Regions from separate parts of the Mus musculus genome. Here regions 1, 2, 3, 5, 6 and 7 are each reported to be linked to region 4. Evidence: microRNA targets listed by miRTarBase, many of them from high-throughput screens and not tested one by one. Region 4 holds a microRNA gene; each other region holds the end of a gene's coding sequence.

Region 1 (4,066 bases), not on the chromosome of region 4:
ACAAGTTAAGCATGGTGTTTAAAATACAAAATGTCGGAGGAAGAGCAAGTTTTCATATGTGCGCCCAGCTTTTAAAACAGCCTGCGGTATCACTGGACTCCTGAGGCTCACTGCAATCACAACTCCAAACCTCCACTAGACAGACAGGAGACTCCACCAAAGAACATCACCGCGCATACAAGGGGCCAAGAGGGACATCCACAGCCACGTGGAAGTGAGTCCTCACCTACCCGTAACAGGAGACATTTTAGAGATGTGCAAAAAATGTGTAAATACTATGCTCCTGAACAACTAATGAGCCATACGGGGGCTTAAGAAAATTAAATTCCATACAAAAAAAAATTAAAGTTATTAACATGTCTGCGCTAACACCATGATCTGCAGATGCCGTGCAATCCTAGGAAATTCCCAATGCTGTATTTTCCCAAAAAGCAAAAGCTTCCTTACTATGTACACAGATCCACAAGATTCCCAACAGCCAAAGATATGCCAAGAAGGAAAACAAAACTGAAATTATTACCGTTATCAAGCTTCAAAATATATTACAAAGACACAGCAATGAAAACAGCATTCTGCTAACCTAAGAAGAGATGCAGAACCCAATGGGAAACAACAGAGGCCGCAGAAGTAGACCTACACCGGCGTGGCTAGGACTTGACAAGGAAGCCAAGACACCCAGTGAATGGAGAAGAGCTGTCTTCAATAAATGCTGTTGGAAAAACTGGATGTCCACATGCAAAGGAACGAAGCTGGACCCTTATCTCACACTATATGAAAAGCAACTCAAAACAGATTGAAGACTTAAGCATAAGACCTCACTCCAAGAAAGGATTAGATAAATGCAAGAAATGCTATGGCGCTATTTATAGTTACGTCTTCAGCAACGAAAAGGAAAACGGGCCCACCAGACTGCTTCCAAATAAAAGTTTTCTAGCCGTGTAAATAGTCAAGGGTTAAGACTGACTACAAAATAGGAGAAAATAGTTGATAAATACTTACTATCTAGGATAGGTGGTATTAAAATTCAACAACAAAATGAAATAACTCAATTAAAAATGGGCAATGGACTTGAACAGACGTTTTTCAAAACAAGTCACAAAAGTGATTGATACATACATGAAAATATACTCAACATCACTAATCATCAGGGAGTTGCATATAAAACCATAGTTAAAACCATATCAAAAAAAATCAAGGTTTGCACTGTTGAGAGTACGGGAGAGGGGATGCACACACAGTAGGAGGTCATATACAGGTACATGTAACAGGAAAACAGTATGGAGCCCTCCAGAAAGTCACAAAGGCCACTCTTATGACCCAGGAATTCCACTTCTAGGTATGCACCCAAAGGCATCAAGCCAGTCTGTTGAGGAACACCTGCAGCATCATTCATCTCAGTGCTACTCACAAAGCTAGGGTAGCGTCTGCCCGGTTGTCTACCCACGGCTGAATCAGTAAAGACAACAAAGGGCACACGCCTGTACACACAGATACACTACTTGTGGCAACAGGGATGAACTTTATGGACATTGTGTTAAATGAAAAAGGCCATGCACAAAAGGAAGACAACAGCACAATCTCACTATGTCTAAATGTTCACGGCAGTAGTTACGGGGGCGGAGAGGACGTCATAGCTAAGGAGGCAGTGAAGGGTCAGCTATGAAATGAATGGAGAAAATAGTACAAGCCATACGTGAAAACATGGAAGAACGTGGGATTTCATTCAGGAGGAAGAAGCAGTACAGCACAGAGATTGCTGTTGAAATCTATACATCCTATATTCTTCGAAAAATATATTCTTGGAAGTATTCTCACCACAAGAAGTAAGAATGTGAGGCTCAATTCAGCCACTCCATGATGTTTACATAGTAAAAAATCATGTACGAAGTAAATACAATTTTTACTTTTTAGTTAAAAAAAAAAAGAGAGAGACACAGTCTAGCGGTGGTGGCGCACACCTTTAATCCAGCACTTGGGAGGCAGAGGCAGGTGGATTTCTGAGTTCAAGGCCAGCCTGGCTGACAGAGTGAGTTCCAGGACAGCCAGGGCTATACAGAGAAACCCTGTCTCGAAAAAAACCAAACAACAACAGCAACAACAACATCAACAACAAAAAAGAAGAAAGAAAGAAAGAAAAAAAGAAAAAGAAAAGAAGGAAAGAAAAGATAAAACGTTAAGAGAGACAAAGCAACCCCTCCCCCAGCGGAATGTTTACTCCATCACAGGCACTGGGTGGTCTGGACAAGGCTCAGGGTTTGGGTCACTCACAGCTCAGTTCTCAGTTCTGGTTCTTACTCAGGCATTTTGCTACAGCAGCCTGAGCAGAATAAGGCACACCCTAAAATAATTCCAGTTATGAAGATCAGTGAAGAGATTTTAGGGCACCAAGAAGTTGCGATATGCTCTTTGCTGCTGCTGTGACCAAGACAGAAGGTGCTTTCTTGTCCTTTGCGCTGACACTAGCTGCTCACACGCTGGCTCCACAGTGTTCCCTCTGTGCCCGCAGCTCAGACGCAGGGGTACAAACAGCAGACTCGAAGGACTCGAAGGACTTCCGGGGCTCTCAGTGTCGCGACATTCCCCCGACAGAACTCAACTCCAAAGCCAACACGTTTTCATGAAAATATATTTAATCTTATTCAAATTAGAAATCCCGTATCTCTCCCCAGTTATTTTCAAACAAAGGACCCCTGTCAACAATCGTTGAAAATGGTAAGAGGCAATCTCATGTTGATTGAAAGGTAGATAATCAAACACTTTTGACGGGTGACCTATCTACAAGGACTTGTTCACTTCAAAGGAAGGGATCCCATCGCTGCTATGAATCTGAAGTGTGAAGAAGGTCTATGCTATGTCAGTTAACACTGGTGTAATACACGGAGGACTGGGCTCTCCAGGGAAGGGTGTCACCGAGCAGAGACAAACACAGAACAACAGAAAGGGTAGGAGCCACTTCTGAGAATACTGGCTAGTGCTGAGCTCAAGATTAGTCAGAGGGAAAAAAATCAATGTCCGTGACTTTAAAGAGAAGCGAGTTCTCTTTGGTACTACGGACCTTCCCGTGATTCTAGAATCCAGATTACAGAAAGGGATAAAAAGATGAACAAATCACAAAACTAGAGACTCCTGGCTCTGTGCCTCCAGGAATGGCAGTGCCCACTTGCTCATCCTGCCAGCACCCTCATCAGAAGTAGATGTGGCTGCTCTGCCAGGCCTCCACCAGTGGGGGCCTGGTTCCTCATTGGGTCTAGCACCAAGTGCGGGTCTCCTGAGAGGTCAGCACCTACTGGGCCATCTTTCGGATCATGTAGTTCAGGATGCCTCCATTGTGGAAGTACGTGAGCTCCACATCAGTGTCGAACCTCATCACGGCCTGGAAGGTCTTCCCAGTGTCCAGCTGCAAGAGCAAAGAGGCAGAGCGCTGCTGAAGGCGGGGCTGAACCGAGACTCCCACCTCAGGGAGACTCCGCCTGGCTTGGCTGCCCACTGGCCTCAGTTGGGGCGTGGTATATGCCCACAGTGCCAGCAGCGGATGGAACCAGTGGTCTCTGCACCCAACAAGAACCCTGGGAATTTATGTGCCCACCAGAGGTTGAGGAGCATTGCAGAATTAATGACACAGGTGTAGCACATGAGAACAAAGTGTCCTCTCAGGGCAGCAGCTATGAGTGACACTGTGACGCTTTGCCCTAAGTCTTTTCTGGACATGCTCTGGGCAGCAGAGGTCTCTGGGGTTGTTCCTTAAGCAGCTGATCCAGCTGCTTGCCTTGGGTCATCCTGGGACCTCAGCAGCTGTCTCTGCAGTGTCAAATCCCCTTGGGACTTTGGCAGAGGGCACTTTACTCTCGCCTCTCCTGACGATGTGTCATTACCTCGACATGGGTTACTTTTCTGTTGCTGTGAGAAAACACCATGACCAAAGCAACTTATGGTTCTCAGACTCCATCATGGTGGGAGCCACAGCTGCAGGAGGAAGATGAGCACTCGAGGGAACTGCAACTGTAAGTCTCCGAACTCTCCAACTCGGCCCCCAGTAACACACTTCCTTCCCCAGCATGGCGTACAA
Region 2 (4,066 bases), not on the chromosome of region 4:
GGAGGGCGCATGTGCGGGGCCAGCCTGGGCCGACCTAAAAATGACTGGGGTAAGCTTACCGGGTTAGATGGATACATGGGTGAAGAGCTGGGCATGGTGGCACATGCTTGTAATCCCAGTGTTCAGGAAGCAGAGGCAGGGGGATGACAGCTCAAGGTGCGCCTAAGCTACATGAGACCCTGCCTCAAATACAAAACAAAACAGGCTACAGAGAACATAGGAAGGAGACTGAGCCAAGACCATGTCTCCTTAAACCATGTCTCCTTACAGATCAGCCACATGGGAGCTTGCCCCCACTGTTGCAGAAAGTATTTAATCTTGGTCTGAGGTTTCTACCCTGACTTTGTTGTTTAGGTTCCTGGATGAAAGACACAAACAACCCTCATATTCACCATAACCTTAAACAGTATGAAAGTCAGGCCGTTGTCTACCCATCTATGCTGTTAGGATCTATTTCCTACTGACAACCCCAAGTTATTACTATATTTCATCTGGGCTGTTATTTTTGTTTGTTTGTTTTCGAGACAGGGTTTCTCTGTGTAGCCCTGGCTGTCCTGGAACTCACTCTATAGACCAGGCTGGCCTCCAACTCAGAAATCTACCTGCCCCTGCCTCTCAAGTGCTGGGGTCAAAGGCATGCGCCACCACTGCCCGGCTATCTGGGCTGCTCTTAACTCCAATTGGCCAGCCCACGGAGCCATTTTTTTTTCCTCCTAACCCATGGCTGCTCTCATTCCCCCTCCTGCTGCCTTCTTTTCCTCATGGTCCTCCTCCAACCCCAAGCCCTCGAAACCCAAACTTCACCTATGTCTCTTCTGCCCCGTTATTGGAATCTCTATTTTCCAATCAGAGTTAACATGGGGACAGGGTCACCTAATGTCTTCAGTGGGGACTCTCTTGTCTCTGGGACAACCAGGTTTTGGGAGCCCGCACTTAGCTTTACAATAGATAACAAAAGACCAAATCTCAACCCCCCAGCCCACCTAGTCTGGAAATATCCACCAACTAGAGGGGGCACATGACCACACACTTAAAGAGACGATTTATTGCATAACCAGTGGGGCACAGATTCCAGAAGGATTTTACAGGCAGGGACAGTAACTTCAGGATGCTGAGAAGCCACCAGAGGAGGAGGAGCGAGGGGGCTTAACACCAGGTATGCAATGCTCTTTTCTCTATGCTGCACTTTGCTTTGTAAGAGCGTGGGTGATAGCCAGCTAGGACAAAGAAGGAAAGGAAACTGCACTGCGAGCCCACCGAAGCTGTGGAGGATGAAAACACGCGGCTTTCAGGCTGCATTCCATGATGGAAGTCACTGAGGTCAGGGCAGAGCCCCTGCGCTGTGCCGTTAAGAGTCCCGAGTGCACGCAACACTGGACTTCGTCTTTGGCAAGTAAAGACCGTGGTGCTGAGGCCACAGTGCCTTCCGGGAACGGAGCTTGAGGCAGGGCCTGCTCCATTAATTGTGTCTTCATCCTCTCCATCTTAGAAAGTGGGGTACACAGGTGGGAAGGCAGAATCCCAGAGAGGGGAGAGAGCAGCCAGATTGGATGCAGAGCTCACTCCTGCGAGGCGATGAGACCCACGTGCAAAAAACCCAAAAACGGCCAGGGCGAGCTTTGAGACAAAACGCATTTGCCCACAGGAACAGTATGCTCTAACCCCAGCCAGGTCTCAGGAGGGACTGTGTGGGGCCCCTCCTGCTGTCTCCTCAGGCCTCCACACAGGGCCTTCAGCCTGAGGAGGACATGGGACTGACTGGTGTTCTTGAGAGCGTCTGGAAATGCTGTACTGGCCCCGTGTTCTTTGATTTCTCAAGGACAGCATTCTTCTTCGTGACTTAACGGGACTGCACCACTCCACCTCTAACAGTTCTCTTCCCGGAAGCTTCCAACAGAGGCCTGCTCTCTCTGGGGATGGTGGGAACCAGCTCAGGCTGGAACCAGCTCCAGGGAGCCTGCCAGGAAGAGCAGTCATCCTTGGAGCACGCAGAAAAGCTTGTCAGAGAGGATGCCTGAGCTCACACTGGCCGGCCCCTTTCTAAAAGGCCCTGCTGGACATCCTCCAGCACTTAGGCTTGTGTGTATCGATGAGTGGGCAGGCCCCTGGAGCGCTGAGCCTTTCCTCCGAGCTGTGAGCCTCACGTTGAGGTGATGCTGTCTCCAGGATGCATTGGCCATGTTGTAAGAGGGACTATGAGGCAGGCTCAGCATACTGAGGTCACCTCACTTTGGTCGTTCTATGGGAGACTGATGCTGCCTTCCAGGGCTGGCTGACAGGTTCACTCATGTGCAGGTTACAGACCCCAGCGGAGGCTGAGATGGGCAGCCTGTTCAGTGGGCATGTCTGGATTGACTGTCCACATTTCTGATTAGAAAAATGTCATGAAGCCTGGCGGTGGTGGCGTACGCCTTTAATCCCAGCACTCAGGAGGCAGAGGCAGGTGGATTTCTGAGTTCCAGGACAGCCTGGTCTACAAAGTGAGTTCCACGACAGCCAGGGCTACACAGAGAAACCTTGTCTCGAAAAACCAAAAAAAAAAAAAAGAAAAGAAAAGAAAAGAAAAATGTCAAGAAATAACTCAAACTTCTGGTTCCTTGAAAAACCAAAGCACTGGCAGCCACAGGCTACTTTTCTACAGCTGCATGAGGGGTATGAGTGGGACAAGCTGCTGTCCTCACAGGCTGGGTGGGGTCCCTAGCCGCCCTTGGCTGTCTGTGCACCTGGCTGGCAACATAGCCACTGCCTGCTCCCTCAGGTCAGGGCCAGAGCTCCACCCAGGCAGAAGCGATCGACAAAGTGCCTTCAGCACAGCGAGCGCCAGTGCTGCGGTGGCCTGGGTGTCAACCTCTGCCCTTGGGGAGCTGTGGGGGAGCTGCCACCAGCTAGGGCACACGGGGAACTCTTCGTGCAGCGCCACAGGAGTTCTAATCATGAACTACCCGTGAGGGGATGGGGACACGGAGGCCCTGCGTCTTACCTGGGAAGACATCCTTCCAGAGGAGCCGTGTGGAGGATGTCAGCAGCACGGCCTGTGAAACTGACTCAGGGTTCTAAGTAAACTGTCTGGCTTGGCGGGGAAGCAGGCCCCTGACAGTGGGCGGTGCTCCTGCTCTGAATGTGGCCGACTGGAAGCTGATGTAAAGGGTGGATTTCTAACTACTTTTTTGGACATTATGGAGACATCAGCATGATGGTAAAATCTTTATAGATAGAAAATCAAGATAAAAATATTAAATAAGACAACACTTAACATGATACAAGAGTTAGAAATGGATCCGCTCCTTGTCACTCCCAAGAGATGCGCTCTCTCTAGGAAGTGGGAAGCTCTGCTCCTCGTGCACATGGAGAGACCCCACAGGATGGAAGGGAAGCTTCCTGATTGACTGCACGATGCTTGGAAGGGACGGATGCTGCTGCTGCTGCTGGGGTTTTTGTTTTTGTTTTTAAATCCAACTTTCTTATCTCTTAAGAAAATGTTTTACTAAAAATATCAATTATAGCTTTAGGCATGGGTAGAGATTGTAAAGGACAGGAAAGTTGTAACACACTTGGAACAATGACTTTTGAACACATGGGGTCATGACCTAAGCACTTGGTGACAATCTGACAGGACAGAACTAAGTTGCAAATAGGCACAAATAAGGCAAGGGTTAAATTACAGTCAAAAATCTGTTAGAAAACATGCAAAAAATAATACTGAGCTTTCTTTTAAAAAGTCTGAAATCATCATTAAATGTTTTGTAAAAATCTGAAGAGTTCGTGTATAGTCTATGGGCAGGCAGACAGCACCCGAGCTCAGCTGCTGTTCTCTTTGGTGGTGATTGTGACCAGCTGTTTGGCGGCCTTGGCGATGTCATAGGCACACTGGATGACCTGCTGTGTGACCAGCTGCACATCTGTGGGTAAGCTGGAGTCTCCTGGGAGAGCCTTTCTGCACTCCGACTGGAGCCGGTAGGCACTGGACGTGAGTAGGCGGAGGGAAGTCCTCACCGTGTCAGACTTGGGTTTCTGAAATGAAAGCAGAGCCGTCTGCTGGGGGCTGCAGGGTGTGGAGGCAGCAACA
Region 3 (4,066 bases), not on the chromosome of region 4:
CAGTAAATTTGGCATTAGTAACTCCAGGAGCATGCCCAGGCTGGACCATCTTCAGGACAAGGTTTCTGTATGCATGAAGCCTGAGGCCTGCCACTCTTCTGTACCCTCTCAACACTGTTACCTCTGAGCCAGTGTGTCCACCAAAGAGGCAACCACTCTGCCCTAGCTGAGGTGTTAGGCTAACAAAGCATGCATCCCCCAGCATTAGCTCAGCATGCTCTCAGCTGCAGAGAAGGGAAGGGAAGGGAAGGGAAGGAAGGGAAGGGGTAGGCCAGTGGACTAATGAAGCGTATTCCCTCTAGCTCCGTCAAAGTAATTAAAGATCACTTGTGTTGAGGATACAGAGTGAAGAGCAGTCAGCCTTTGGTATGCCTGTCCCTGATGTGGGAGGAAGGAGCTCTCTGATGATGTCCAGGTTTGGTTTGAATTCTTCATACAGCTTCGTGGGGGTGGGCAGGCTGGATTCCAGAATGCTTTTACAGGAAGGGGTGGGAGAGGAAGCCAGCTCCAGCCTCAGTTGGACAGCTTGCAGGGAGGCCTTCTGCTCCTGTAGTTGACTTTTTCTGAGACTGTCTTCATGTTCCAAAGGTTGGCTTTGGAGCTCTGCTTCTGCTTCCTAATGGCCCCTGGTGTTTGCACATGGTATGTATGTGCACATGGTATGTATGTGCACATGGCATGTATGTGCACATGGCATGTATGTGCACATACATGCACCTGCGTGTTACTCCTCAAGAACCATCACCTTTTTTTGAGACAGGGTCTCTCACTGGTGCCTGGAACTCACCAGTTCAGCTAGACTGACTAACTAGCAGGTCTCAGTGGTCCTTCATCTTGACCTCCTCAGAACTGGGATTACAGGTGTGTGCCACTACTTTTGGCTTCTTATTTGGGTGCTTGGGGTGAGGGCTCAGGGATTTGAACTCAGGTCCTCATACTTGCATGGTAAGCACTTTAACAACTGAGCCATCTTCGTAGCCCCTTTATGTATTGTTGAGGTTATCAGACAGCTCAGGCTAGTGCTATGTATTGGGGGCTGGAGACACAATTCAGCAGTTAAAAAGTACTTGCTGTCTTTGCAGAGTACCCAGGTTTCATTCCCAGTTCCCATGTGGTGGCTCACAATTGTAACTCCAGTTCTAAGAGATTTGACGCCTGTTCTGACTTCTATGGACTCTTGCACCTGCATACATGTAGTACACACACACTTAAGTGTACCCCCCCCCCCCACATAAGATTAAAAAACCAAAGCTGGCTTTTAATCCCAGCACTTGGGAGGCAGAGGTAGGTGGATCTCTTAAATTTGAGGTCAGCCTGGTCTAAGTTTGAGTGAGTTCCAGGATAGCTAAGGTTACACAGAAAAACTGTATCAAACCAACCAAACCAAACCAAGCCACCCACTGCAGCACAGTACAGCTCACTACCAGGACTGCATTTATTATAACAGACTATGAAAGTGCAAGGCAAGAAAGAGGACTGAGGGGCAGTGTAAACAAACGTGGGGGAGGCACAGGCACTCCTGAGGAGGCTCAGACGCCCTCCTTCCCAGGGACAGCCTCCCGCAGAACACCCAGCCCTTGGAATTAAGGCAGTTAGGGTGTGAGCACCTCTGTGCCTTTATTGGTGTTATTTTTGTCTGTCCCCTAACAGCTGCCCATTTCTATCCCTCCTAGCTGGACACTACTGAGCTTTTTCCACAAGTAATGCTTTTCCACACGAGGCCACCTAGCTCGACAACTTTCCTTCCAGGGACAGTTCTAGCCAAGTACAACTACCCCAGAGAGTGTGGTTTCTTGGGCACTGCCCACCCCCAGGAGCTGCCAAATGTCCAGGCTACTCTGTTTTAACCAAACAGAAATAGAACTCCACACTTAAGTTCCACAAGCCCTTGTGGCCTCACTGAGCCCTACCACCAAGTCTTTCTCTACTCTGTACTATCTCTGTTCCCTCTGCACATGAGGACTCCACCTCTGCAGAGCCCTAGAAGCCTGGATATGGTCTGTGTTCCTTCCCTGCAGGCCATACATAAAGTGCTCAGAATGAGATCCTTGCACAGAGTTGCAGACTCCCACTGTAGAGCCCAGGCAGCATCTATGACCCAACCCAAGAACCAAGTAGATGTGCCTCTGGCTTCTGTCCCATCTTCCTTCTTGTGATGCTGCCAAGCAGTCGAGTAAAAAGCCCCTAGACATAGTATACTCTTTTCAGCCTTCCACAGCCTGAGAGCAACAACAAAACCCCCTGCTAGGCACTGGCAACAATCATGAGAACAGATTTGTGGCCAAGTAATAGGGAAAGCCTTATCTTTTGATCTTACCTTTTTTGCTACTACCTATGAAAGGACATAGCAGGCATATCATTTCTCCTAAGCCTCCAGTAATCACTGGACGGACAGTCACATGTGGTGCCCAACCCCTAACTCTGACTATTGCCGCCCCTTATGCTGGGAACCGTATCTACCCCAAGCCTCACCACACACCTGGGTAAGATAAAGCAAAGAGGCCAGGCAGTGGTGGCGCACGCCTTTAATCCCAGCACTTGGGAGGCAGGGGCAGGTGGATTTCTGAGTTCAAGGTCAGCCTGGTCTACAGAGTAAGTTCCAGGACAGCCAGGGGGCTACACAGAGAAACCCTGTCTCGAAAAACCAAAAAAAAAAAAAAAACCCCAAAGAGGAGGACCCGGGCAGAGGGGGACTGGGAAAACTAGATTCCAGGAAGAGGCTTAGTACTGAGTCTCAGGCTTGGGGCTTAGCTGTGTTCTCCCAGAGGCTTTTTTTTTTGTTTTGTTTTGTGCATCAGCCCTAGCCTTGCACAGGCTAGGCAAGTGCTCTACCAGCCTGTGAGCCCTGTGCTGGGGAGAGAAATGTGCCTTGTTAGAGGGAAGGCCTCCTTGCACTGCAGATTCATCAACTCAAGTGGGGTCCAGGAGCTGGCTTAAGTCTCCCCTTCCCATCCTGTCTAAACATTTCCATGTAGGCCAGAGTCACACAGCTACACCAGGACACCTCTCATCCATCAATACTTCTCAAAAGCTTACACAGCTAAACATAGGAAGGCACTAACTTCCCAGCAGCTCCCTCTGCTGGTAATAACAAAAACTGCAGATTCCTGCCAATCCAATTTTTACCTCAAAAAAAAAAAAAAAAGTCGGAGAAACTCTCCAATGCCAAGGAACTACAGATAAATAAACATATACAACAGAGCAGTTCTCTTGTAACAGGGGAAGGGCCAACAGAGTTACTAAGCCCATCCAGACAGCAGGGCCAGCAGAATGGTCCAAGTTCAGAGGTTCTGAAAGCCACAGGCCCACTCCATCATTAAGTTAGATTCCTTGCTGTAACCTAAGGAACAACCCACTTGGCGCTTCCCAGCTGTATTCTTTGAGATTCCTCCTGCAAGCCATAAAGTGCTGCTCTCTGCCTCTCACCATACCCCCAGCACAGCCTGAGTGAAGGAGTTCGTTCTTTCTTCTCCCTCCTCAGGAGGAGTCAGAATGTCTGTAAATGGTTTTCTTAGCAATCAGCATAAGAACCTCAGGAAGTTTCTCCTCCCTTATTAAAGTGGCTTCCTGAAACTGCCCCAGTGGGAACCTGCCGACTTCCACCTATCACCTATGACCCAGACGGGGGCCTCTGACATGAGAAGCACCAGGTGAGGGCTCCTGTAGGCCACTGGCCTCCCCAGAGGTCAATGCCTCCAGTGGTTCTAGGCTGGCGGTGATACCCAGTGCACTGAGTATCACTGTGAAGGGCCATTGGGGCCATCGGCCCATCCTGGAGGGCTATGGCTACTGGAGGGTACAGGAAGAATCCCCAAGGCAGCACCAGCAGCAAGAACACGCGGAAGAAGCAATAGGCTTAGGAGGAATGAGGTCCAGGTCCTCATCATCTGGAATCTCATCCAGGTGATATCCATCCTGCAGCAGCTGCCGGCTCACATCCTGGTTCACCTGCTAAAGGAAGAGGACAGAAGTGTAAAACAGGATGCGAGGCATACAGAGCTGCTGCCTAAAGGCAGGTCCCTGCTCTACCTAGCCCCAGGCCTCTGCACATCCTGCATTACAGAAG
Region 4 (4,066 bases):
CCCTCAGACTGTCCTCTGCAGCATTTTCCTGGGTAAGATACACACTTGGAAATGAGAGAGGTTTTTCCTGTGGAAGATAATGACATGAAGCCAAAGAGCTAATCTGACTTCTTTAGGTTTAATGGAGAAAATGGGTCCATAAATGTTTAAACAGAAGTAGAGCCCTTTGAAATAGATGAAAATGTGACATCTCTAGGCCATCTGTGCGGTATGTGAAGAGTGTAAAACTGTTTCTTAAAGCGGCTCTGAAATTTCTATCATTTTCTCTTAATGGGCTGGGGGCAGGGATGCTTCATGTAATCAAACATAGAGACCTTCCGAGTGGCTCCCCAAAGCTCTGGATGAGCTCAAGACGTCAGTACTCACCCTAATGTTATTTATTTATTTTTTTGCTTACATCTTTTCCTGGGCTCTTGCCTCTTAGAAAACCATGGTGGATATTACAGCTCTGCAAATTTTCTGGGATGCGAATCTCAAATTTCCTTAGACGGAGAGGGAGTCCAAAATCCTCTTACTCTTAAGAGTCAGACATTCTGAGATTGCCAGTGTTATTCATGTTTAAGTCTGTGTAAATAATTGAGCTTATTAATGTTTGAAGTAACACAACCCCATTTGCACTCTTAACGGAAGGCAAACTTGTTTTAGAAATAGTAACTCACAGTTCACTTACTTGCTGTGTGTGTGTGTGTGTGTTTATCCAGGTGAGTCTGCAGATCTGGCAAAGAAGAGTTCGTGGAAGACTTCAAGGTTACACTCCTGGAGTATGCCTTGGCCATGTCAAAGTGCTAACAGTGCAGGTAGCTTTTTGAGTTCTACTGCAGTGCCAGCACTTCTTACATTACCATGGTGATTTAATCAGAGGCCGCTGAGTCCCCTGGTTTCTGCATAGTTAGATTGTGGATGTTTTTGAGCTGCTCCTTGTAATGTGTCTCTTGTGTTAAGGTGCATCTAGTGCTGTTAGTGAAGCAGCTTACAATCTACTGCCCTAAATGCCCCTTCTCGCACAGGCTACTTCTTACCTTGCATTTGAAAAGCATATCTTGAGAAATGATTTGAACGGCACAAGTTTCAAAGGCTCTTTCAGTGTTTCGCCGAGAAACAGATGGCGGAGACTGTAGTATACAGTTGTGTAGAAGAACAAGCTCGGATCCTAGTAGTGCCAAAGTGCTCATAGTGCAGGTAGTTTTTATACCACTCTACTGCAGTGTGAGCACTTCTAGTACTCCTGGATCAACCAAGGTCTTGTTGAAGCAACTACAGCGCAAGGACATTGCTACTTACGATTAGTTTTGCAGATTTGCAGTTCAGCGTATATGTGAATATATGGCTGTGCAAATCCATGCAAAACTGATTGTGGGAATGTGTACCTTTCTGCATCGTAATGGACACCTTTATGCACATCTTCAGCATCCATGCCCATTCATCCACAGGTGGGGATTGGTGGCATTACTTGTGTTAGATATAAAGTATTGCACTTGTCCCGGCCTGAGGAAGAAAGAGGGTTTTTAATCGTCTTTTAGTTTCTGAGTATTGTAAGTTATGTTAGACTGTAATTATGAAATGAACTGTTTTGCTGTTATCAGGTGGAACACGATGCAATTTTGGTTGGTGTAATAGGAGGAAAATTGCACGGTATCCATCTGTAAACCGCAGGACCTATGTGGACAGCCGTCTATCAGTGCTATAGTAAGATTGTAAAATCCTTTAGCTAGTCATTGCTTTGAACACATTTGGAGTGGATTTTTTTTTTTTTTTTTTGGTTTTTCAAGACAGAGTTTCTCTGTATAGCCCTGGCTGTCCTGGAACTCACTCAGGGTGGCCTCGAACTCAGAAATCTGCCTGCCTCTGCCTCCCAAGTGCTGGGATCAAAGGCGTGCGCCACCACGCCCAGCTTGGAGTCTAATTTTTTAAAACTACATATTTTTAAATATATTTGAAATCCTGACATTTTGATTGCACTGAATGTAAACAAACCTGAAATTTGCAAAATAAAGCTGATATATAAGTCTGAAAAAAAATGGGTTTCTTTTTTCTTTTTTAAAAGATTCTATTTATTTATTTATTTATTTATTTATTATATGACAAGTACACTGTAGCTGTCTCCATAGACACCAGAAGGTGGCATCAGACCCCATTCCAGATGGTTGTGAGCCACCATGTGGTTGCTGGGATTTGAACTCAGTACCGCTGGAAGAGCAGTCAGTGCTCTTAACCACTGAGCCATCTCTCCAGCCTGGGGCTCTCTTTTTTTTCTCTCTTTTTTTTTATTAGGTATTTTCCTCGTTTACATTTCCAATGCTATCCCAAAAGTCCCCCATACCCACCCACCCCCACTCCCCTACCCACCCACTCCCCCTTTTTGGCCCTGGCGTTCCCCTGTACTGGGGCATATAAAGTTTGCAAGTCCAAAGGGCCTCTCTTTCCAGTGATGGCTGACTAGGCCATCTTTTGATACATATGCAGCTAGAGACAAGAGCTCCGGGGTACTGGTTAGTTCATATTGTTGTTCCACCTATAGGGTTGCAGATCCCTTTAGCTCCTTGGGTACTTTCTCTAGCTCCTCCATTGGGGACCCTGTGATCCATCCAATAGCTGACTGTGATCATCCACTTCTGTGTTTGCTAGGCCCCAGCATAGTCTCACAAGAGACAGCTATATCTGGGTCCTTTCAGGAAAATCTTGCTAGTGTATGCAATGGTGTCAGCGTTTGGAAGCTGATTATGGGATGGATCCCTGGATATGGCAATGGCTCTCTTTTTAAATTAGCAATACTATTGGCTTTTCTAAAATAGCGTCTTGGTATGTAGCTCTGGTTAGCTTGGAACTCAATTTGTAAACTAGGCTAGCCTTGAACTTGCGGAGATCTGTGTGTTTCTGCTTCTAGAATGCTGAGATTAAAGGTAGGCACCCCTCCACTCCTAGACTTCCAGCATTTACATACATTTATCTATCTATCTATCTATCTATCTATCTATCTATCTATCTATCTATCTATCTACTTATTTAGTGTGTGTGTCATGTGGTGATTTGAGAACAACTGTAGGGAGCTAGTCATGTGGGTCATGGACATACATCTTAGATTTCTTAGGCCCGATGGCAAGTGCCCTTCCCCCACTGAGCTGAAAACAAATTTTATAGGGTATGTCTTGAAGGAACATTTGAATATAACTGGAATTTAAGTTTGCGTTGAGTCTTTGGTTTTATCACTACTGAAAACCCTGCCAGTCCCATCTCCAGAGAGTGACTGTCATCAGGTGAGCCCTCAGGATTTGCCTTTGTAACCCAGTCTCAGGTGCTGATGGTGCTCGCCCAAAGAACTATAGGTTAAAAAAAAAAAAACGCCCGGTTCTATTTTAAGTTTCAAATTCATAAAGTTGAAAGGACTCAGGCACATTTTTTACCCCACTTTCTCATTCTGTTTCATGTGTTAATGTTAACACTGCCCTGTCTTTGGTAAGTGGAAAAACTAGGTAGGTATGTGTTGGTTTTACCTATCTGAACATTGAGTTCTCATCAGAAGGGAGAGGTATCACTATGTGTCATTCTTTGTGCCTTGGAATTTCCCAACTTTGAAAGCCTTTTATTACTTTTTGGGGACCTCATTACATAGGTTCAATTTAGTTAGAATTTTTTTACTGAATTATACTTCACCTTTGAGCTAGTTCCCTAAGCTTCCATTTCATTAGGGAAAATACAGTGATAACATTGGTCCTACACCAGTGAGGTGGGGCTTCTGTTCTCCTTGGGAGGTGAAGAGTGGTCAAGAACATGGATTTTAACTGCTGTGATGACATGAAATCTTAATGAAAAGAGATGGAGGCTAGTAAATTCTCTATTAAGTATGTAGGATTTTCTTAAGTCACTAATGTTTGAAGTAATTACAGAAACAAAATAATGAGATACTTCCTGTGCTATGACTTAGTATTTTATTGGTGCCTAATTGTAGTTAAGTTTGATGTGGTAGCAAAGACCTCCTTCCCTTCTAATAAAGTAGATTTAAAAAGTGGGGATTAAAGCTTATTTGTTATAATCTTTAGTACTACTAGGGGTCTGCTTTAATACAAGT
Region 5 (4,066 bases), not on the chromosome of region 4:
TTCCCGTCAGCACAGTTCGTGAGGTGGCCTTGTTAAGGAGGCTGGAGGCCTTTGAACATCCCAATGTTGTACGGTGAGAAGGTTGGATTGGGAGTGGGGCGGAGAGGACAATAGGACCCGTAAGGCAGGAGTGGGACCCTAGAACGCCAGAGGCCACGTTGAGACAAAGGGGACGACTAGCTGGTGATCATTTGTTCTTCTCAGGCTGATGGATGTCTGTGCTACTTCCCGAACTGATCGGGACATCAAGGTCACCCTAGTGTTTGAGCATATAGACCAGGACCTGAGGACATACCTGGACAAAGCACCTCCACCGGGCCTGCCGGTTGAGACCATTAAGGTGAGTAGGGGTGGGGCTGGGGGCGAGGGTGGACCGATCTTTGCAATAGAAGTTGTTGGGATTTTGAAGTGATACATAGTTTCCGGTGTTCTGTGCTTTCTTCTTGAAAAACAGGATCTAATGCGTCAGTTTCTAAGCGGCCTGGATTTTCTTCATGCAAACTGCATTGTTCACCGGGACCTGAAGCCAGAGAACATTCTAGTGACAAGTAATGGGACCGTCAAGCTGGCTGACTTTGGCCTAGCTAGAATCTACAGCTACCAGATGGCCCTCACGCCTGTGGTCAGTAAAAGGCGTTAGCCGACTAGGTTGTGATAGGGGTAGCTCTTGGTGGTTTCCCATAGCAACTGAGGAGTCTTGTACATGAAGTTTTCAGAGCCAGGCAGGTCTGGTTCGTGAGGTCGACACTCACTCATTTCTACTATTCTCTTCAGGTGGTTACGCTCTGGTACCGAGCTCCTGAAGTTCTTCTGCAGTCTACATACGCAACACCCGTGGACATGTGGAGCGTTGGCTGTATCTTTGCAGAGATGTTCCGTCGGAAGTATGGGACTAGAAACTTTTTGTTGTTAATGGTACAGGGTTAGTCCTGGCCGTAGATCAGGTTGGCCTTGAACTCACAGAGCCCTGGGATTAAAGGCATGCGTTACCACCGCCCGTATGGGACTTGAAGCTCTTAACCTACCTTCAGTTGCACATAGCTTTGGCTGCTTGTCTTACTGTGCTAGAGGTTGAAATCAGAACTCACACACACTCAGTAAATGCTTCCGTGCCACTGAACTTCACACTCCGTCGGCCCCCAAGTCTTTTACAGACATGCCTGTTCTTGACCATTCGCTTTTGTGCATGTATGGTACGGGACATCCAGCCTACCCAGTTCATACTGACCACCTTGCCTAGAACCAAGAAACCATATAGGCATGCCCTGGATTTAGGATCTTCCCGTTCCTCGTCTCCACACTCTCTAGTTGGGTCTACATAACGGTTACTCCTCAATTTTTTTTTTCTTTTAAAAATGTATTTATTTCCATGTATGTGAGTACACTCACTGTCTTCAGACACACCAGAAAAGGACTTCAGATTACATTACAGATGGTTGTGAACCACCGTGTGGTTGCTGGGAATTGAACTCAGGACCTCCGGAAGAGCAGTCTTATCTGCTGAGCCGTCTCTCCAGCCCCCACTCCCCTATTTTTGATATAACACATACTTTGAGTCTTTTTCTGCCTTAGGCCTCTCTTCTGTGGAAACTCTGAAGCCGACCAGTTGGGGAAAATCTTTGAGTAAGTATTTGATAAGGAAAAGGAAAGACATTTCCTGCTGCCGCGGAGACAGGAGCTGGGAAAGGCCCCTCCTAACAGAGTTGTCCTGTCCCCACAGTCTCATTGGATTGCCTCCAGAAGACGACTGGCCTCGAGAGGTATCTCTACCTCGAGGAGCCTTTGCCCCCAGAGGGCCTCGGCCAGTGCAGTCAGTGGTGCCAGAGATGGAGGAGTCTGGAGCGCAGCTGCTACTGGTACTGGACCTGGGCGGGGATTGGGTTAAGATAAGAAATACCGTGGCCTGGGGAACTGGCTCAGTGGGTAGAGTTCCTTTGCATAAGTGTGAGGACCTGAGTTCAAATCCCCAGAACTCATATAGAAGTTGTGTGCTTCTATGGTGCTACTCCTTTTTTATTTATTTATTTATTTTTAAAGATTTATTTATTTTATGTATGTGAGTACACTGTAGCTATCTTCAGACACAACCAGAAGAGGGCATCAGATCCCATTACAGATGGTTGTAAGCCACCATGTGGTTGCTGGGAATTGACTCAGGAGCTCTGGAATAGTGGTCAGTGCTCTTAGCTGCTGAGCCATCTCTCCAGTCCTGTAGTGCCACTCGGGGCGAGATGGACAGATCCCTGGTAATACAGCGCTGACAGAGTCTCCAATGAGATGGAAGGCAAGGACTGGCAGCCCAGACTCTTGACCTCTGCATGTATACACGCACATGTGCGTGCCCGCATTTCACACATGAGCACGTGCACGCAGAGATGAAACAGACGGGCCCAGACCAGCCTGAAGCTAAGATGTAGCTGTGGGCAGGCTGTAGTTGTCACTGCTGTTGGGAATGGCCAGCCAGAGTGGGACAAAGGAAACAGCCATGTTGGGTGGGCATCAGCATCGGCTCCTGAGCTGTTTTCTGACCTTTGTCCTCTCCCTTTAGGAAATGCTGACCTTTAACCCACATAAGCGAATCTCTGCCTTCCGAGCCCTGCAGCACTCCTACCTGCACAAGGAGGAAAGCGACGCAGAGTGAGAAGAGGGGCTGCCTTTCCCAGTCTTGGTGGAGAAACCCTCGCTGAAGCGGCAGCCTCTGTTTCCCCCCAAGGCTGTGGAGAATCCTCCAGTTTTTTACAGAGAATATTTTAAGCCTTAAATAACAAGTCCCCACCTCTCCTTACGAGGTTCACCCCCATTACCCTCCCCTAGCTCTACACTAAAGGGCAGGTGTATCTGTCTTCTTCCCTCCCTGATTTATACTGGGATCTTTTTTATACAGGAAAACAAGACAAGACAAAGAGTATGGTCTTTATTTTTCTTTAATGTTTTTTCCAATTGGCTTTGCCACTGGGAGACTTGGGGAAAACAAAACAAACAAACAAAAAAAAAACACGAAAACAAGTTCCCTGCAAGGACCTAGGCAGGCAGTCCAGCTCTTTGGCTGGCAAGATCAGAGAGAAATGCTTTCTTTGAATATTCGGTCAAAATGGCTTTAGTTTCTAAGTTCACTGGTCCTGCTTTGATGAGACTGTAGGTGGGGCTGGGAATGACAACTGATTGGTAGAAATGCTTGCCGAGCACTTGTGAGGCCCTGGGTTATAACTGGTTTTCTCTTGGTGTTCTGACTCTGTCCTTGAAGCCAAGGGTCTTGGGGGGGGGGTGCAGTTACCCTCCTAGGGCCCGAGGCCTACCTCCCCTCATCCATAATCGTGTTCCCATCAAAACAGACATAAGTCCAACCACCAGTTCTTGGGGGTGAGGTAAGGGACCTCTTTTCTCTAAAACAAAACCATAGGGCCACCCCTAGGTGTTTGTAAAGATGGCAAGGCCAGGCAGTGGTGGTGTACGCCTTTAATCCCAGCACTTGGGAGGCAGAGGCAGGTGGATTTCTGAGTTTGAGGCCAGCCTAGTTTACACAGTTCCAGGACAGCCAGGGCCATACAGAGAAACCCTGTCTCAAAAAACAAAAAAATGGCAAAGCCAAGTCAGAAGGATCCAGGGGCTGGCTGAGTGTGGTGATGCCAGCAGGAGGCTGAGGCAGGAGGGTCTGGAATTCAAGGTCTTCCTTGGATACAGAGCTAGCTAGAAACAGCCTAGGCTGCAGAGATGCTATCTGGGAGGTCAAAAGTCTCATAGGAAGGCACTGGGGTTGGCTCGAGGGTCCTTTTGATTCCGGAATCTCATTGCTAGCCAAACACCAAGGATCTACGGGAGAGGAAGAGAGAAAGGTTATTTCTGGACCATGGGGTTGAAGGCTTGAGTGTGTACATGAGGAGTCATTACCTCTGTGAAACTAAAGAAGAGCCCAACACCTCCTAGGATCTTGAGGGCTTTGTCTGAATGTTTAAGGAACCTCTCCCCACACATCTGGCATGTAGAGCTCTTAGTTTTGCACACCTGGTAACAGACATATATAGAGAATTCAAAGTTGCTCACCTGCCCTGTCCAAAAAGCTGTAGTG
Region 6 (4,066 bases), not on the chromosome of region 4:
GAGTCTCAGAGAGGGGACAGGGGGAACACTTGACAAAAGCAGGGAAAGTGTGTTTGGGCTCACAGTTTATTTACACCTTAATTAACTGGATCTAGAAATTTCCTGAGAGGTATGCCTGTAGTCACCTCCTGGGCGACTCTAGATCATTGTGGGAAGCCACATGTGCCATTGCAGGGTGGCGCTGGTTACCGCTGGCCACCACGCATACATAGGCAGTAAAGTTTTTTTTGCCAAGATGAGGTTTTGAGAGTTAACCAATCAGATGAGAGACAAGTTAACCAATCAGATGAGAGACAAGTTAACCAATCAGATGAGAAAGAAGTTAACCAATCAGATGAGAGACATGTTAACCAATCAGATGTGAGACATGCAAATGAGGTGGTAAGCATAACCCATGCATAACCAATCCGGGTGTGAGACACGCCTCTCCTAGGCCTATATAAGCAGCACCAGTTCTGGGATTAGGGTCTCTTCGCCTCTGCAATCAAGCTCTCCCAATGTGCAGAAGGATCCTGTTGCAGCGTCGTTCTTGCTGGCGAGCCAGGGCATGCACAAGAGATCATGTTGTACTGAAAACCATAATTAACCCTCAGGGGGCTAGATGGATGACTCAGTGGAACCTGGGTTCAATTACTGGTATCCATGTAGCTTATAACCAGTTATAATTCCAGCTCCAGAGTTTCCAAGGCTTTCTTATGGCTTGCATGGCACCAGGCATGGATGTGGTACATAGGCACATGCAGGGCAAAACCCCTTGTCCTGGTTAGTTGTTTTTTGTTTTGTTTTGTTTTGTTAACTTGCCAAAAGCTTGAGTTATCTCAACATTTCAACCATATTTGAAAAATTGCCTCCATAAGACAATAGGCAAGCCTGTGGGACCTTTTATTTTTTGAGACAGGGTCTCTCTAGTCTCTGTTCTGGGACTTATATGTAGACCAGAATGGCCTAGAACTCATACAGATCTGCCTGCTTTCCATTTGGAGATTAAAGATTTGGGCCATCACACTTGGCTACATTTTGTTGAAAAAATGATTGATGTGGGAGGGCCCAGCCCACTGTGGGTGGTGTCACCCCCTGGGCAGGTGGTTCTGAGGTATGCAAGAAAGCAGGCTGAGAAAGCCATAAGGAGCAAGTCTTCCTCTGTGGTCTCTGCTTCAGTTCCAGCCTCCAGGTTCCTGCTTGAATTCCTGCCCTGACTTTACTTCGTGATGGACTACAAGGTGTACAACGAAACAAACTCTTTCCCCCAGGCTGCTTTTGGTCTTAGTGTCTGCCACAGCAATAGAAACCTAACTAAAACACATCATTACATATCAAGTAAAATGTTTTTTAATTAAGAATCAACCATCACATAATACAAAGAAAAAGGAAATGGTCAAAGCACATACTGTGATATTGTACAACTTTGAGCAGAAGCACCACCTTGGTAGCATTAATATTTCAAAAAGCTCAAAGCACACAAACGGGTCTTGGGGCCTGACATCATCCCTAGTCCTGAAGTAGAAGCAAAAACACAGCTTTCAAAAGGAATTAGAAATACTTTATTTCGTACCCAAATTTCAGTGACCATGGCCCTAGAAGCATAGATTTAGGTACCCCAATTTCATGGCTCCATGGAGTTTTGTAGAACAGAACAAAAAGTTATAAAGTAAGGCGTTCTTCAGACACACTAGAGGAAGGGTTAAACGTTACAGCACAGTGATAATCTCAGCTCTGGCTTCAGATATATGACAGCATTCACAGTACTTGGACTGGTGGAGAATAGTTTTATCAAGTGAATAGTTCTATAGTGTTGGTTAGTTTGGTTTGGTTTGGTTTGGTTTGGTTTGGTTTGGTTTAAATCTGTTGTCAGGATGTTTGGGGATCTCTGCAAACACCAAGGCTGGCAGCCTAATGATCCATTTGAGGCCAAAAGGAAATCCAGTTCAACACAACTTAGCCTATGCTAGGTCAAACTTCTAGAGTCTGACCCCAGCAGTTTACTTTAGCTGTATTTAAGCACAGCACAAATTTCCGGGGGAAGTTTTTTGATGATAATTAACTCGGTCACTTATGTACAATAATGCTTAAGACAGGTTGACATTGACACAGTTTACAAAGTACTTATGGCCTCTTCCGTAAAGACGGGATCTGTTAGCTTGGCATGGTGATGCACAACTTCAATCCCAGCACTTGGGAGGCAGAGGCAGGTAGATTCCTGAGTTTGAGGCCAGACCGGTCTACAGAGTGAGTTCCAGGACATCTGGGGCTACACCAAGAAAACAAACCAACCAAACAAACAAAACAAGATAAGTTTGGCAGAGGTAGAGGTCTATTGACTCACAAACAGTGCTGGAGATACAGGTCTAAGAAGAAAAAATCTGGGATAAACACATATAAAAATCGGTGGCAGTCAAGAGTGGCCTGGCCCTACAGGTAGCACAGAGGTCCCCTAGGCTTTTCTAATATACAAGTGACAGTGACATCTCCTATAAGGATGAGATTTATTGAGCAACAGTATTCAAGAAAAGGGCCTATTGGCAGGCAAAAGGCCTATGGAGGAAGAGTCTGGGATAAACAAAGACAATAGTCTGTTCAAGTGTGTGCTAGGTCTACAAATAGCACAGAACACCAGGATGTTAACTATATCCATTCCCAGACATCTGGGTGGAAAACAGGTCTACTTCTCTGTGAGCACAAGAACCTTGTGCCCTCTACAGCATGTTAGTTCTGACCCAGAGGGAGGCAAGACATTGCTTAGGTTGGAACAGCCTAAGCTATGCCTCTCTACATCATTAAAATGTTAAGCCAGGCAGTGATGGTGTATGCCTTTAATCCCAGCACTCAGGAGGTAGAGGCAGGTGGATCTCTGTGAGTTCCAGGTCAGCTTAGCCTACAAAGGGAGATCCAGGATAGCCAAGGCTACATAGAGAAATCCTATCTTATTAAAAACCAAAAATAAAATAAAATAATAATAAATTAATCAATTAACTTATGTAGACATAGCTTCTGAGAAATTCCCATTCACACCTCCATCTGCTCACTGTGGGTTGAGAGGACTAAAGACTAAGGCTAGTTCTGAGATGCCTGGGGGATGGAGAGCCTAAAAACACAGACACTATTCCCAGTGTCTGATGTGGCAAAGTCCACAGTTGCTCAGGCTGGCCTGCCAGGGGCTTTGTTATGGGTTTTTATGGATAACAAAGCACCTTGTCTGGGCCACATCCTGATGTGGGCTCAAAGGACAACATTTTTGGGTCCTCCCATCCTTGCCTTCTAGGAAAACATACTGAGCACCATGAACCCAAACTGACTTTAGCTTACGAGTTCACAGCACAAAACCTCCTAACTCTGAGGCCAGCCAAGGCAGGCTTCAAGGAGAGAAGCCCTCTGGCTGCATACAGAGAGAAACCCTCTGGTCTTCACAAGAGAGAAGGGCACATCATATATCTGGGGGTCCACGGGGTATGCAGTGGGATGAATGTCAGCTCCAAATTCAGATGGGCTATTTGGAATGTTTCAGTCCTGTATCAAAGGACACTTGACTCTAGCTCGAGGGTGAAGCAAACACAATTTTTAGCAGCTAAGTTGCCACAGTTTGCAAATACATTCCTGCAAGGTCAGTCTCCAGTTTAGAAACAATAGTGTTCATTGCTTCCTCGACTTCCTTAAATCCAGTGATCTTCAGGAATGCCATCTGCTTACTTTCCGGAGCTTCATAGCATAGTGGAGGCTGGAAAATAAAACACAAAGTGAACACACACACACACAACCAAGGGTCGGTCTATTTATATCTCTTGAATGTTGAGGAGGAAAGTTGCAGTGGTTCTGTGATTCTGCTTCTCAGGATAGGAGAGGCTCTTTGTGTCCTCAAGTAATACCCAGTGGTCAGGAGACCCAGGCTGGGACAGGGCTGATCAAGACTGTCACTAACCTATTATCCATCTGTTACTCAGGTGGCAGAAAGCAGCGAAGCCTGACATGGAAAGAACTAATGGTGTCTAATGGAAGCCTAATGGAAAGAACTTCTGGTGTCTTCTAGGAAGGCCAGAGGCTCCGGGTGAATAGTTTATGGAGGTTGACCTTG
Region 7 (4,066 bases), not on the chromosome of region 4:
TAAAAGTACTTTAAAAACTATATAGAAGCCTAGTGGTTGTGGCACACGCTTTTAATCCCAGAATTCAGGAGGCAGAGGCAGACGGAACTCTGAGTTCAAAACCAGCCTGGTCTACAGTGAGTTCCAGGACAGCCAGGGCTATACAGAAAAACCCTGTCTCAATCACAACAACAAAAAAAAATAAATAAAAAAAAATAAAAATAAAATAAAGAAATAATTGCTTCTGTGTTCTGAGTTTCCCGGTGAATTGCTTCTCCATGACCCTGGCCATTTCTCTATTCAGAAACATCTTTGTTTCTTACACTAATTTATGATAGCTGACATATAGTTACAGACAGTTAAGTTTCCAGTCTTTTGCTTTCCGCCATGTTTTTTACTTTCGCCATGTCTACATGGCTATCTAGAGTAAGTAGAGGTTTCTTCACATCTCCCTCGAAAAGGTCCAGCAACAGCCTCCATACTTGTCTCTGTCCTCTACAGTACCCTTCACACTCTCAGGTCCAGACTGACCTGCCAAAGATAACTCAATTCACAAGTACTGGAACATTTTTAGGTGCTCTTGGACTCATTCTTATGCCCTCTATAGCCCACCCTCGTGCTCCAGACACGTTGGCTTTTCTCTTCCTCCGTCCTATCCCCAAGGGCTGGGTGAAGGCAAGCTTGCTGTCAAGCTGATGACTCTAACGCTATAAGGTTACTCTCTCCAAGCCTCTCTATACTTCCCTTCCTTCTGCGCCCCCCTCCCCGCGCCGCCCCACCCCGTAACTGAGGCTGTCTAAAGTCTCGTTGATAACGCAGTTTGGTACTCAGGAGAGAAACACGAGAGAGTTGCCCCAAGGATCTGCGCATACATCCACACCCAGCCCGCACCTGGGCCTCGGCGCTGCGGCTCTCCTCCCACTCGCGGCAGTTAGTCAGGTCGCGGAGCCACTGCCTGCAATCCGGCCGCTTGCCGTGGACGTAGTAGTGGTGTAGGACGTGCCCGACGCTGCGGCAGAGCTCCCACTCGGCGCGGTAGACCTCGCACGGCCGGGGAGGCTGCGGGGAGAGACAGCGGAGAGCGCGGGCAGCCCCCAGGGCCTGATCCCACCCAGCCCAGGAGCCCAGGAGCCAAGCACACTCACCTGCCAGCTCCCTGCGACCGCCATGTCCAGGCCCCGTGTGACTGACAGGGACATGAACCAATGAGCTCCAAGCAAACGCGCACTAAACAGGACGTCTGCACTGAGTGGCTGATAGTCAGAGGCCACACTACCTGGTGTCTAGCCGATGGCTTGGCTTCAAAGTCACATAAGGTATTAATTAGCATTCGGAAAAAACAGGAGTTCTGGTCAGTTCTCCCAGTTTTTTATTTTTCAAATCCGTATGTGGTTCAGTTTTTGAAGTACAGACTCTTGAACTCTTGAGTAACCCACCTGGCGGACTGAAATTGCAGGTATGTAGCCTGAGCATACACAGAGTGTAGGTGAGCTTGATTTGGTGTATGGAGAGGAGGAAGGCAGTGCAGGATGACTAAGGGTGAAAGAAGTTCTCCTAGAAGTGACAGGCTCAGGGTTGCACACCTTTAATCCCAGCATTCAGGAAACAAGAGCAGGGACATCTCAGTGAGTCAGTTCTAGACCAGAAAGGAATATATATATATATATATATATATATATATATATATATTAGTGAGACCCTGTCTCAAAAAGGAAACAAACCCAACAACAAAAACAATTTAAAAAAAAAAAAAAAAACCTAACTGGAGATCATAAGGTGAGATGACTCAGCTGTAGAGAAACTTGTGAACAGAACCAAGGACCCGAGTTTGATCCCTCCTAGTTTGATCCTTCTAGGCGACAGAAGGGACTCCTGAGCACTGTACTCTTATCTACACATGCAGTCACATTTTTATTAGTGCACTTGTGTGTATAACTATGTATGTGCAACACATATACTTAGATCATCTGGAACTGGAGTTACAGTTATAATTACAGGCTATGAGCCACCATGTGAGTGCTGGGAAGCAAACCTGGATCCTCTGCACGAACAAGTGCTTAACTGAGCTCTTTCCAGCCTGACCAAGTTAGCTAACAGAATCCTACAAATGAAAGCTGTCTTACTGCTAGGGAAACTGAGACAGCCCCATAGGACAGGTCGGGCAGGTTACCACAGCATTTATGCCTTCCAGAGCCACATTTGGCCAGTAATGATGTATGTGCCAGAGTTAGGAGCCAATTAAGTTTATGGATATTTCTAAGAGCAAATGGACACACTCTGGAACTACAAACATAGAGGGAAAGTGCACCCTCCATGAGGACCTTGCTAGGCCTGACCAGCTCCACTCCAAGCATCAGGGAGTGACATCCATCCCTACAGCCTCCACAAGTCTCGGAAATAGTCTCTAACGACAGGATGAAGTAGGGTGCTGCTGCAAGGGGGCCTTCCTATGACTTCTGGCTAGTGGCCCATACCACCAATCTACAACATACCATATCAAACTAGAGGCGAGTTTTAATCAGTTTATTTAATTCTTCAATAAGAATTATTCTCAGGGAACAAATTTTAAATAGCTGGATCAGCATGTCAAAAGACCTTACATCATACAAAGTGCAGATCTGAAGACAATAAAACAGTAAGAAAATGGGGTATGGGGGAGCCTCAGTGGCAGAGTGTGTGGCATGCTTAATATTCACGAGGTTCTGGTTCAATCCTAGCACTTGAAAAACAGACAAACCATCAGAACCTTGGGTAATAAATGTAGCGGAGGGCGGGCAGTGGTGGCGCACACCTTTAATCCCAGCACTTGGGAGGCAGAGGCAGGTGGATTTTTGAGTTCAAGGCCAGCCTAGTCTACAAAGTGAGTTCCAGGACAGCCAGGGAACTCTGTCTTGAAAAGCCACAAAAATAAATAAAAATAATAATAAAAAATAAATGTAACGGGGGCACGTTACTCAAGCATGTATTCATTCTGCCTTTCATATCTGGCTTCATCATGGAATTCACTGAGAGCGAGCAGATTAAAATGAGAGCGCTTTCATCTGGATGAGATCCCTTCTGAGTCACTGTAAATAAAAACAGAGGCCATCTTTGTCTGGTACTCAAGTGCTGGCCTGAGTAGCCATGATGGGCTAAAGACACTGCACCATGAACAGACATGGGGAAGAAGAGTGAGTCAGGAATCGGGAGCTGCTCTGCTGAGGCTGTGAGGGCCCTGAAGCTGGAGTTAGGGAGTGGAGGAGGCCACCACCTAGAGGACCCCAGCGCTCTCTCCCCCAGATCAAGCACACAACCTCCAAGTTCTGCTGCTTTGTATCCAGGACAAGCTTGATAGTTCTCAGGTAACTTTAAACAAACCATAAATAACAGAGTATCTCTGAACTTGTCAGAGCCAGTAACTGTAAGCCAGGTGCAATCGGATCTTTTATTTTCCAGTCAGCCAACAGTTTTAGACTTAGGGCTTTCTTCCCTTCTTACGCAGTGACTGTCCTTCTCCAGAGAAAGCAATGAATCTGCCTCCAGCTTCATCCTAGGTATGAAAATAGGATATTATTTTCAGAAACTCCTCAAAGTTTACAATAACCACTTTATTCCATGGACTTGTGTGCCATCCATCTACTTTCCCCACTTCATTAATCATAATAAGAAGTGCCCTGGGGGGGGCTGAAGAGATGCCTCAGGGGTTAAAAGTGTGTGCTGCTCTTTCAGAGGACCCAGTTCAGTCTCCAGCACCCATGCTGGGCAGCTCACAATTGCCTCCAACTCCAAGGGATCTGACTCCCTCTTCGGGGCTGCCAGGGCACCTGCACACACAGGGCAAACACACACACATAAATAAAATAAGCATCAAATGTCCCTGCATTTATGGCATTGAGAACCCCACAGATGATAGCTGTGTGAGTCCACCACCACCTTTGTGTTTAGATTTACTGTACAACCTCTCCACAACTTATGGAGGCAGTTATGTCTTAAGAAGCCATTTTCAGCTGAAGTTATCATTAAGTTGGAAAGACATTTCATACACCTCCCTTCCAAATACCCCAACTCAATTACAAACCACACGGCAGTGTTCTGGTAGTCTCCCCCT

The links. Region 4 holds the annotated microRNA mmu-miR-363-5p (CAGGUGGAACACGAUGCAAUUU, at 1,581-1,602, shown strand). A microRNA usually pairs through its seed, bases 2 to 8, with sites in the 3' UTR of a target mRNA and lowers its output. Matches are read on the target gene's strand: a 7mer-m8 pairs with bases 2 to 8, a 7mer-A1 pairs with bases 2 to 7 and ends in A, and an 8mer does both.
Region 1: the mRNA of Aco1 is a reported target of mmu-miR-363-5p. Seed matches in the 3' UTR shown: 7mer-m8 at 1,988-1,994.
Region 2: miRTarBase lists Git2 as a target of mmu-miR-363-5p. Seed matches in the 3' UTR shown: 7mer-m8 at 2,442-2,448.
Region 3: the mRNA of Fam219b is a reported target of mmu-miR-363-5p. Seed matches in the 3' UTR shown: 7mer-m8 at 2,554-2,560.
Region 5: the mRNA of Tspan31 is a reported target of mmu-miR-363-5p. Seed matches in the 3' UTR shown: 7mer-m8 at 3,485-3,491 and 7mer-A1 at 3,137-3,143.
Region 6: the mRNA of Tnfrsf26 is a reported target of mmu-miR-363-5p. Seed matches in the 3' UTR shown: 7mer-m8 at 2,839-2,845.
Region 7: miRTarBase lists Ufd1 as a target of mmu-miR-363-5p. Seed matches in the 3' UTR shown: 7mer-m8 at 2,801-2,807.

Annotation. Positions count from the first base shown.
Region 1 is chr4:40,196,885-40,200,950 of GRCm38, reverse strand. It overlaps Aco1 (aconitase 1), which reads right to left. Exons shown (of 21, transcript NM_007386.2): 21 at 1,942-3,397. The coding sequence ends at 3,284. Among named protein-coding and RNA genes, the nearest start is that of Ddx58, 41 kb to the left of the region's middle.
Region 2 is chr5:114,726,384-114,730,449 of GRCm38, forward strand. It overlaps Git2 (GIT ArfGAP 2), which reads right to left. Exons shown (of 20, transcript NM_001347400.1): 20 at 1,028-4,011. The coding sequence ends at 3,799. Among named protein-coding and RNA genes, the nearest start is that of Mir7028, 8.9 kb to the left of the region's middle.
Region 3 is chr9:57,540,540-57,544,605 of GRCm38, reverse strand. Fam219b (family with sequence similarity 219, member B) reads right to left here. Exons shown (of 5, transcript NM_001166364.1): 5 at 1,419-3,951. The coding sequence ends at 3,787. It overlaps Mpi (mannose phosphate isomerase), which reads left to right. Exons shown (of 8, transcript NM_025837.2): 8 at 1-338. Among named protein-coding and RNA genes, the nearest start is that of Fam219b, 5.0 kb to the right of the region's middle.
Region 4 is chrX:52,739,276-52,743,341 of GRCm38, reverse strand. It overlaps Mir363 (microRNA 363), which reads left to right and starts at 1,575; the gene lies at 1,575-1,649. Mir92-2 (microRNA 92-2) reads left to right here and starts at 1,414; the gene lies at 1,414-1,504. It overlaps Mir19b-2 (microRNA 19b-2), which reads left to right and starts at 1,276; the gene lies at 1,276-1,359. Mir20b (microRNA 20b) reads left to right here and starts at 1,150; the gene lies at 1,150-1,229. It also overlaps Mir18b, Mir106a and Kis2.
Region 5 is chr10:127,064,381-127,068,446 of GRCm38, forward strand. Tspan31 (tetraspanin 31) reads right to left here. Exons shown (of 6, transcript NM_025982.4): 5 at 3,889-4,002; 6 at 2,910-3,810. The coding sequence ends at 3,736. Cdk4 (cyclin-dependent kinase 4) reads left to right here. Exons shown (of 8, transcript NM_009870.4): 2 at 1-73; 3 at 205-340; 4 at 455-622; 5 at 775-884; 6 at 1,573-1,623; 7 at 1,721-1,856; 8 at 2,549-2,908. The coding sequence ends at 2,641. Among named protein-coding and RNA genes, the nearest start is that of Cdk4, 2.9 kb to the left of the region's middle.
Region 6 is chr7:143,606,349-143,610,414 of GRCm38, forward strand. Tnfrsf26 (tumor necrosis factor receptor superfamily, member 26) reads right to left here. Exons shown (of 8, transcript NM_175649.5): 8 at 1,337-3,712. The coding sequence ends at 3,696. Among named protein-coding and RNA genes, the nearest start is that of Gm15579, 8.3 kb to the left of the region's middle.
Region 7 is chr16:18,833,678-18,837,743 of GRCm38, reverse strand. Ufd1 (ubiquitin recognition factor in ER-associated degradation 1) reads right to left here. Exons shown (of 12, transcript NM_011672.4): 12 at 2,483-3,508. The coding sequence ends at 3,434. 2510002D24Rik (RIKEN cDNA 2510002D24 gene) reads right to left here and starts at 1,164. Exons shown (of 3, transcript NM_001033164.2): 1 at 1,125-1,164; 2 at 871-1,038. The coding sequence starts at 1,148.